2 linked regions of the Pelodiscus sinensis genome follow. The protein of the gene in region 1 interacts with the protein of each later gene in a pairwise test. Links are inferred from orthologs where the notes say so. Each region holds a gene or a part of one and is shown on either strand. Other genes may lie near its edges.

Evidence for each region.
Region 2: the proteins of SATB1 (region 1) and TOPORS interact in a two-hybrid assay, tested with the Homo sapiens proteins (2 studies listed by BioGRID and IntAct). The link is inferred for Pelodiscus sinensis from reciprocal best matches to the Homo sapiens genes SATB1 and TOPORS.

The regions. Positions count from the first base shown.
Region 1 is NC_134712.1:192,365,361-192,369,104, reverse strand, and holds the start of SATB1 (DNA-binding protein SATB1), read right to left. Parts: upstream 2,786-3,744; 5' UTR 2,655-2,785; coding exon of another isoform or gene 2,651-2,654; intron 1-2,650. UniProt on the Homo sapiens protein: Crucial silencing factor contributing to the initiation of X inactivation mediated by Xist RNA that occurs during embryogenesis and in lymphoma.
Region 2 is NC_134716.1:11,370,364-11,374,107, reverse strand, and holds the start of TOPORS (E3 ubiquitin-protein ligase Topors), read right to left. Parts: upstream 2,477-3,744; 5' UTR 2,315-2,476; coding exon 1,955-2,314; intron 1-1,954. UniProt on the Homo sapiens protein: Functions as an E3 ubiquitin-protein ligase and as an E3 SUMO1-protein ligase. Probable tumor suppressor involved in cell growth, cell proliferation and apoptosis that regulates p53/TP53 stability through ubiquitin-dependent degradation.

The DNA of each region.
Region 1 (3,744 bases):
GGCACACCTGCCTACATCCCTTTGGAATTTTGTATTAGAGAATTATGGTGCTTTGAAGACAGCACCTTGTATTTAGTTTAGTACTATTTGTAACCACAAGATCTCTATAATAATACAGGGACAGGTGCTTATCAGGTGACCTTATGGGCCTACACTGCAAACGGTAACCTGTTCAGATAAAAATGATTATTACAATCTTTGGCTAATTAGGGAGATTCTCTCTTTCTTCTTACTCTGCAAATCAACATGTACCATTAACAAATCACAGATTGACTTTGCCTGTTTTATATTTCTCTCTCAGAAATAAGTATCAAGGGGACTTATCCTTAGATAGGTCTTGTTAAAAGAACAGAAGACAAGGAGGAATGCTTGTGGAGTAACTTAGCTATTTAACAGTTCAAGAACAAAGAATATAAAAAAAGAAACTAACTTTTTAAAAATGCATGAACAAAAAACATTCCACTTAAATATTTTTGTCCCAGTAAACTCATTTTGCATACAAAGAACTATTATTTATTACACATTTGCACTTGTGGGGAAAAGGAGGAATGCACTGATTCTAGAAAGAAAATACTATACAGGCTTTTTGGAGACTTCCCTCTATGTTCTTGTTTTACTTAGATTACTGTTTTTCCAGGGAAAAGAGGAATTCCTTGAAGTCAGTTGTTTCTTTTACATTAGCTGTTGGTATTCAGGACGGGGTACAACTGCAGACAATGATTTTATTTTTGTTATAGAGCCTTGTAATGTATGTGGGCTATCAATTGATATGTATATACACAAAACATATGTATGCATACATACGCTATCTTTTTACATTCACTTTTTACTGTACATGTTTACACATTTGTGTATAAAATATTTCCACTTGATAAGGGAGATATTAAAATCTGAAATAGGAAATGTGTATATAAAGTGTATACATAATATTAACACTGTAAGTGTATACGATGCACATTACAGCCACTGTACTATATTCAAGTCTTTACACAGTATGCATACAGTTCAACTTTCTTTATAAAATAATGCACCAGAATTAATATCGTTATATCTGGTGATTGCTTGAAAGACTTGAAGAGATAGGGAAATATCCAATCCAATCCCTGTATTAACTAACATTACAATTTTACACTTATTGTAACCTTTTCTAACAATGTGAGAAAAACAGAGTAAATATATTAAATTTGTTTCACAACAGATGCTTAGGTTGTTAATATTTAAGATGCTTATTCATGCTATTCCTGTCTGCACATTTGTCAAAAATGTAAGCTTGAATGCTAATGTTTGCCAGCATACTGAAGCAGACAAATATATACTAATGTACTATACCAAATGATATAAAGTAGAAATAAAGGGCTGCTGCTAAATCCTGCTGCTAACCCTAGTACTGTCTACTACTAGAACCTTAGAGCTGTTGAATCTGAAATTGTGAATTATTTCCATAGGACAATTACATTAGGTTTGACTGAATAAAACTGATTATTGGCTTTTTCCATTTTTTTCTTCATTTTGGGTGAAAAGCTGTTGTAAAATATTTTAACACAAGTTTTCAATGGGATAATAAGGGTTTCTCTGTCAGTAACCTAAGCACTTTAGATTTCTGGGACTAGCAGTATAAAACTTGGAAACTTGCAGGTGTCTGTCATTGGTTCTTCACCCTAGAACTAATCAAAGATTTCACCAAAAATGTGATTATTAGAGGAAGTTTTCTGTTGGACTTTTAAAAATATCTAAGGTATAAAATACTTGATTTGAATTATTTTCCTTTGAACTAAATGAACCTTATATAGATTGCAAAACGTCGTTTCAAATGAGGCTCTGGGGTCTTTTAAACTTTGGCAGTATCTCGGTGGGACGCTTTGGCTAACGTACTTAAAACTACCAACTTAGGGGGGATTGTCTAAGTGCCTGTTCCCCTGTGGGCCCTTCGCTGCCTCTTCATGGACCAAACCAGATCTGAAATGGAGAACGCCAGGGGAAGGAGGTGCAGAGGAGAAGAGATAGCGTACCTGGGCTTACTGTGCTTCCTCACCACTAAGGTCACTGACACGCCAGCTGCCACGACGCGTGCTGCGAGGAGAAACCTTCCCCTCTCAGAGATCACTGCCAAAGTTGATCTTTTCCGCCTCTCTCCTCCCCCTTCCCCCATGAAGCCTCGCAACACACGGTCTTCAACAACTTTGCGTTTCAGGTTAAACACGTCGGCCAAGTGCCCCTCAACACAACCCAGCCCACGCACGTTTAACAAATGCATCTTCGCAGCGCGCCAAACCCAGGCAACCTGTCGCCAAGGCGGCTGGCACCTCCCGAGCCCAGCGCGTTCTCAGGGGAACGTGGGGGGAAGTTTGCCAAACTTTCAGGGAACTTGCCTTTAGGGGAAGGGGGCTACCGGGCCAGTGACTTCGGCTCTGCCCCTCCGCAGGGGTTCAGCAGCCGGAGCCGAGGCAAGACTCCCCCCGCCCCCACGCACACCCCGCGTTTATGGCACGCAGCCCTGCCAAGGCAGCAGGTGTGTGGAGCCCGGCTCGGGAAGGGCTTCCCCTCCACGCTCCCGAGCAGTGCTCCGACCCACAACGTGACTTAATAAAAGACCCGAGGCGCGCTGGGGGGGGGCGGGAAACCGGAGAAGGAGGAAAAGAGACCTACTCACTCATGAGAGCGCCGCGGGCGAGGCTGGGCGACACCTTCAGCTTCCCAGGCGGCGGCGAAGTTAATCGCGCTGAAGTTCAAGTTGTCTGTTCCCCCATCGGGAGTGGGCGTCTAGAGGACGGAGAGGCGGAGGGGGGGAGCCACGCACGCCCGCCCGCCCCCGTTGCCGAGCAGCTCCTCAGGAGCAGCCGGGGTCGGCAGCAAGGTACCAGCGCGGGGCCGGCGTGTGCCCGGCTTCCTCTCTCTGGAGCCCTTGGGCGGGGAAGGACGCCGGGCGCAGGCTCCAGCGAGCGAGCGGAGCTCGGCCGGAGGCTCCGCACCCGTGCGCCGTGTCTCGCTGCCTCTCTCCCCCTGGCGGACGCTGCTCGCGCCTGTGCCGGAGCCGAGCTGAGCCGCGGCGGCTGCTGCTGCTGCTGCTGCTGCCCTCCCCGGGTGCGCGGTGGCGGCAGAGCCGGGCTAGGGCGGGGAGAGGCTGAGCGCCGGCGTAGAGCGGAGCCGGGAGCCGCAGCCGCGGGAGCCGGGTGTGCGTCTGGCGCTTGCTCGGTCCCCTTCTTCTGGCCGGTGTGTTTTGGGGCTGAGTTGGGGAGAGTGGTTTGTGTGCGCGCGTGTCTCTGCCTCCCCCCGGCTCGCGGTGGAGGAGGAAGTCAGGTGAGAGACAGATAATCCCCTCCCAGCCCCTGTGCGATGGGTAGGAGCTAATCACTGTTGTTGTTGGGCTGCTGCTGGTTGTTGTTTTTAATGCTATTATCTTGCCTCCCCCCCCCCCCTTCCCTCCCATCCGCTCCTGGAGAGCAGCGCCCCTCACAGGAGCACCGATCACCCCCCCCTCCACGCGCGTACACACACACTCTCTTTTTCCTTCCCTCCCCCCTCCCTCCGACTCATTTATTTCAATATTTATACCCCCACATGCTTGGCTGTCAGCTGCTGCTGGCTTCGTGCGAGTGAAAGGATGAGCGAGCAGGGGAGTTTCCGAAAAGGATCTGACAAAGGTGATCAATATTTTAAGGGTCAGATCGCAATTGGGACCGGAGAAGATGGGAAAGCTCAGGGCTCCCTCCCTCTTTCCAGATGGGCCGCGTGCGCGATCCTCTG
Region 2 (3,744 bases), on another chromosome or scaffold:
CGTGGGCCAGACCCACTTCCTCAGATCAAATAGTGGAAGAAAATATTTCTTCCACTATTTGATCTGAGGAAGTGGGTCTGGCCACGAAGCTCATCATATAATAAACCATCTTATTAGTCTTTAAAGTGCTACATAGTCCTGTATTTTGTTTCAGCTACACCAGACTAACACGGCTACATTTCTATCACTTAGGAATTCAGACTGCCACTATGCCAAGCTTCTTGTTTTGGGTAGAGTGTTTTAGTTTTCAAATTATTATTATATTATTGCAAAAGGTAAATAATTATAGTGGTTGAATATTTCTGTATTAGAGAGGGTATTGTCAGTTGGGTATTTCCACAAAAGATCAAGATGTTGATCATAGTAGTTAGATCAGCAGTCCCCAACACGGTGCCCGCGGGTGCCATAGCAGTTAGATCATCAGTCCCCAACACCATACCCGCGGGGGCATTTGTGTGCACCCGCCAAGTGCTCGGGGCTGGCCTGGCCCATGGCACATGCATGGTGCCAGAGCCGGCCTCGGGCACACGGCGAGAGCCGACCCCGGGAGCGCTGCGGATTGGCCGCCCGCGCTCTGGGCGCATGGCGCTTGGGGGGGGGGGGGGGAGCGCCGGCCCTGGGCACGCGGCGCTTGGGGTGGGTGGGGAGCGCCAACCCCGGGCGCGCAAGTGCCCCCGCCCTCTGGCACCTGGCGGGCGAACGGCCACGCCCCCTGGTACCCGGCAACCTCCAATGGTTGGGGACCACTGAGTTAGATGTCATATAACAGTGGTTTTTTATATAAATTTTTAAAGGTGGCTAATTTTCTAGCATCTGATCAGGTTGACCACCCTATTAATTCTACTATTATTTTTGTTTTCTATACTACCACCAGTAATTGTGATGTAAGGAAAGTGTATTAATGATGTAGCAAATACACTTGAACCTCTTCAATCTTGCAACTCTGGGAAACATGGTATGTCAGTTTAGGGTATTTTTCAGAACACGGAGGGCAGGAGGGGGCTAGAGGTGGGGCGCTTACCTGGTGCCCTGCTCCTGGTGGCACACATGGGTTCATGCCCCTTACCCTGCCAGTACAGGAGTCTCCATAGAAGCTTCTCACTGTCCTGCCATTCCCCTAGCTAGGGGTAGAGGATTCTCAGCACATAGAACCACCACCTCCTCCCGACTGCAGGGTCCTACCACAGTTGTTCCCAGATCAGGAACACCCAGAGGTTCAAGTGTAATGTACGCCAAAAATCTATGTTAAAATAATGTTAAAGTTGCAAAGTTGCTACTTGCTGCAAAGTTGGAAAATGCTAGAATTCAGCCCCCTTCTGCACATGCATTTTGATAGTCTTTAATTACCAGCCTAAACTCCCTCACACTCCTCCCACCAACTTCTGAATCTCATCTGATCTCAGTCTAAATTGCCCTCACACATCACCTTGATCTAGTCACCTTACCTAGTCAATTTCAATTTATTCCGTAGCTACTTGCCCAGCCAGTCCCCATCCATCCCACTGCTCCGAAACCCTATACCTCTCTCAGTTACTACCCTTCACCAAACAGTCCCCCCTGCCACCCACCACAGCTCCAGGCTCCTTAACCCGCTCTACGCCTTCTCCCTGCCCACCTAGATCTGGTTCTGCCAACCCGCCAGATTGGAGGCAGGCTGCTCTTGCTCCAGGCTGGTGAACACAGGCCGAGGGAACGCTGACAGCCCGGGAGTTCCAGTATTTAACCGTGAAACTCACAGGTCTCCACCGAGCACGTATGAACGGAATTATTGCCCCAAACTTGAAACCTTCCCAGATTTGTACGCTCCCCTTCTGCCCCGGAACCAGCACCGGGCCCACCCCTGCCACGGGGCCAAATTCCAAACCCGGAGGCGCTAGCGCTTCCCAGCAAAGCAGAAAGACGTTTCCTTCCCCAGGCTCGACCCAGGCTCCCTCCCCCCGGGCCGCTTACTCACCGCGGCGCCGCTGTCCGGGGCGGGCGGCTCCCCCTCGCCGCGGGACTGCCCCGCCTCCGCCGCTTTGAGTCGCTGGCGGCGGCAGCGGCCGGGGCTGGGCCCCGCCCGCGGCTCTTGCCCCCCATGACGAAGGCGGCGGCGGCGGCCCTGGTCTGTGAGGTAATTGAGCGGGTCAGCCATGACAGCCGCGGCCCGGCCACCCGCTCGCTGCACAAGGAGACGGCCGGGCCCTGGGCAAGACGGAAACCCCGCAAGGGCTGCTGGGACCGGAAACGGCTTGGAGCTCGGAACTCCACGACTTCCAGCGCCTCCCGCGCAGAACGCTGACCACGTGACCGCCATCTTAGGTGCGGGCGGCATCGTCCCAGAGATACTTCACTGCCCGCCAATCCAGCGCGCTTCGCTTCCGGGCCCAACCAACGATAGCGGTTGGGAGCACGTGCCCGTCCAGCTCCGTCTCCTTGGTGATCTCCCTTGGCCCCGCCCCTACGCGGTTCTTGCTGCCAGCGCCATGGCGCCGTTAAGCCACCGCGCCCGACACAGGCTTTACTCGCTGGTAGGCGCCTGCGTCGCCCCCGGCCCGGCCCCGCCTGGGGGAACGGACGCGGCTCGCGCCTGAACCGCCCCCCCCTCCAACGCCAAGGACCCGGAGAGCCCGGCCCAGCTGGGCGGCCAGTCCCGTCTGCGGTTCCTGCCCGGAGCCACGAACCCCCCTGCTCGCGCGGGCCGCCCCCACCCGCAGCACCGCCCCCTCGCACCCGCCTTTCCCTAGTGTCGGGTGGGCGCCGCCACTCTTCCGCCGGGCCGGTGAAAATCGTCCTCATCGTGAGAAGGGTTTAAAGATCCGACCCCTGTTCACGGGCAGGTGCGCGTGCACCTGGGCAATGCACAGCGGCACCTTTCCCAACACTGAAGCAAAATGCAGGACAATGTAGCACTTTAAAGACTAACAAGATGGTTTATTAGATGATGAGCTTTTGTGGGCCAGACCCACTTCCTCAGATCAAATAGTGGGTCTGGCCCACGAAAGCTCCTAATCTAATAAACCATCTTGTTAGTCTTTAAAGTGCTACATTGTCCTGCATTTTGCTTCAACTACCCCAGACTAACACGGCTACATTTCTATCGCTTTCCCAACACTGTGTTTTCTTCTGACAGATTCTTCTCGCCATTGTATTACTCTCCTGGGGATACGTTATCTACGCATCAAGAATAGCAGCGCAGTGGCAACTTGAAAAGGATTATCCCACTCAATGGCTGAATTTGTAAAGGAAATATTAAAGACTGACAGCATCTGGATTTTCACAACTAAACACTGAAAACCAACTAGGAAGGCAGAAAATGACTTATTCCGGCATAACAATTTCAGATGTTATGACTTGACCCCATAATTCAACTTTGATAGGCTTAAAGAAAAATCAAACTTACACAATTAAGAGAATCCACAGAAATATGAGCAATTTATATAGTGAGACACTTTTTTAAATAAGCCAATTTAGAAAACGAATACCATACCAAGAAGCAGCCAAGGAAGAATTGTACACCAAGTATATGTTCTGTTGTCTCTTCTTTTACAGACTCAATGTCTTTGGTAAAGATTGTGCAATGTTTAAAATATAGTACATGTTTTAATCTATTGGTATGGCATTAGTTAAGGATGACAACATATTTTTTTCAGCTCACATCAATACTAGGGATGGAGAAGTAGTCGAACAGTTGACTACCCTGTAAGCTTAGACTTATTGGCTAGTCAAGTTGACTACTCGCAGTTCCCCCCATCTTGCTGCCTC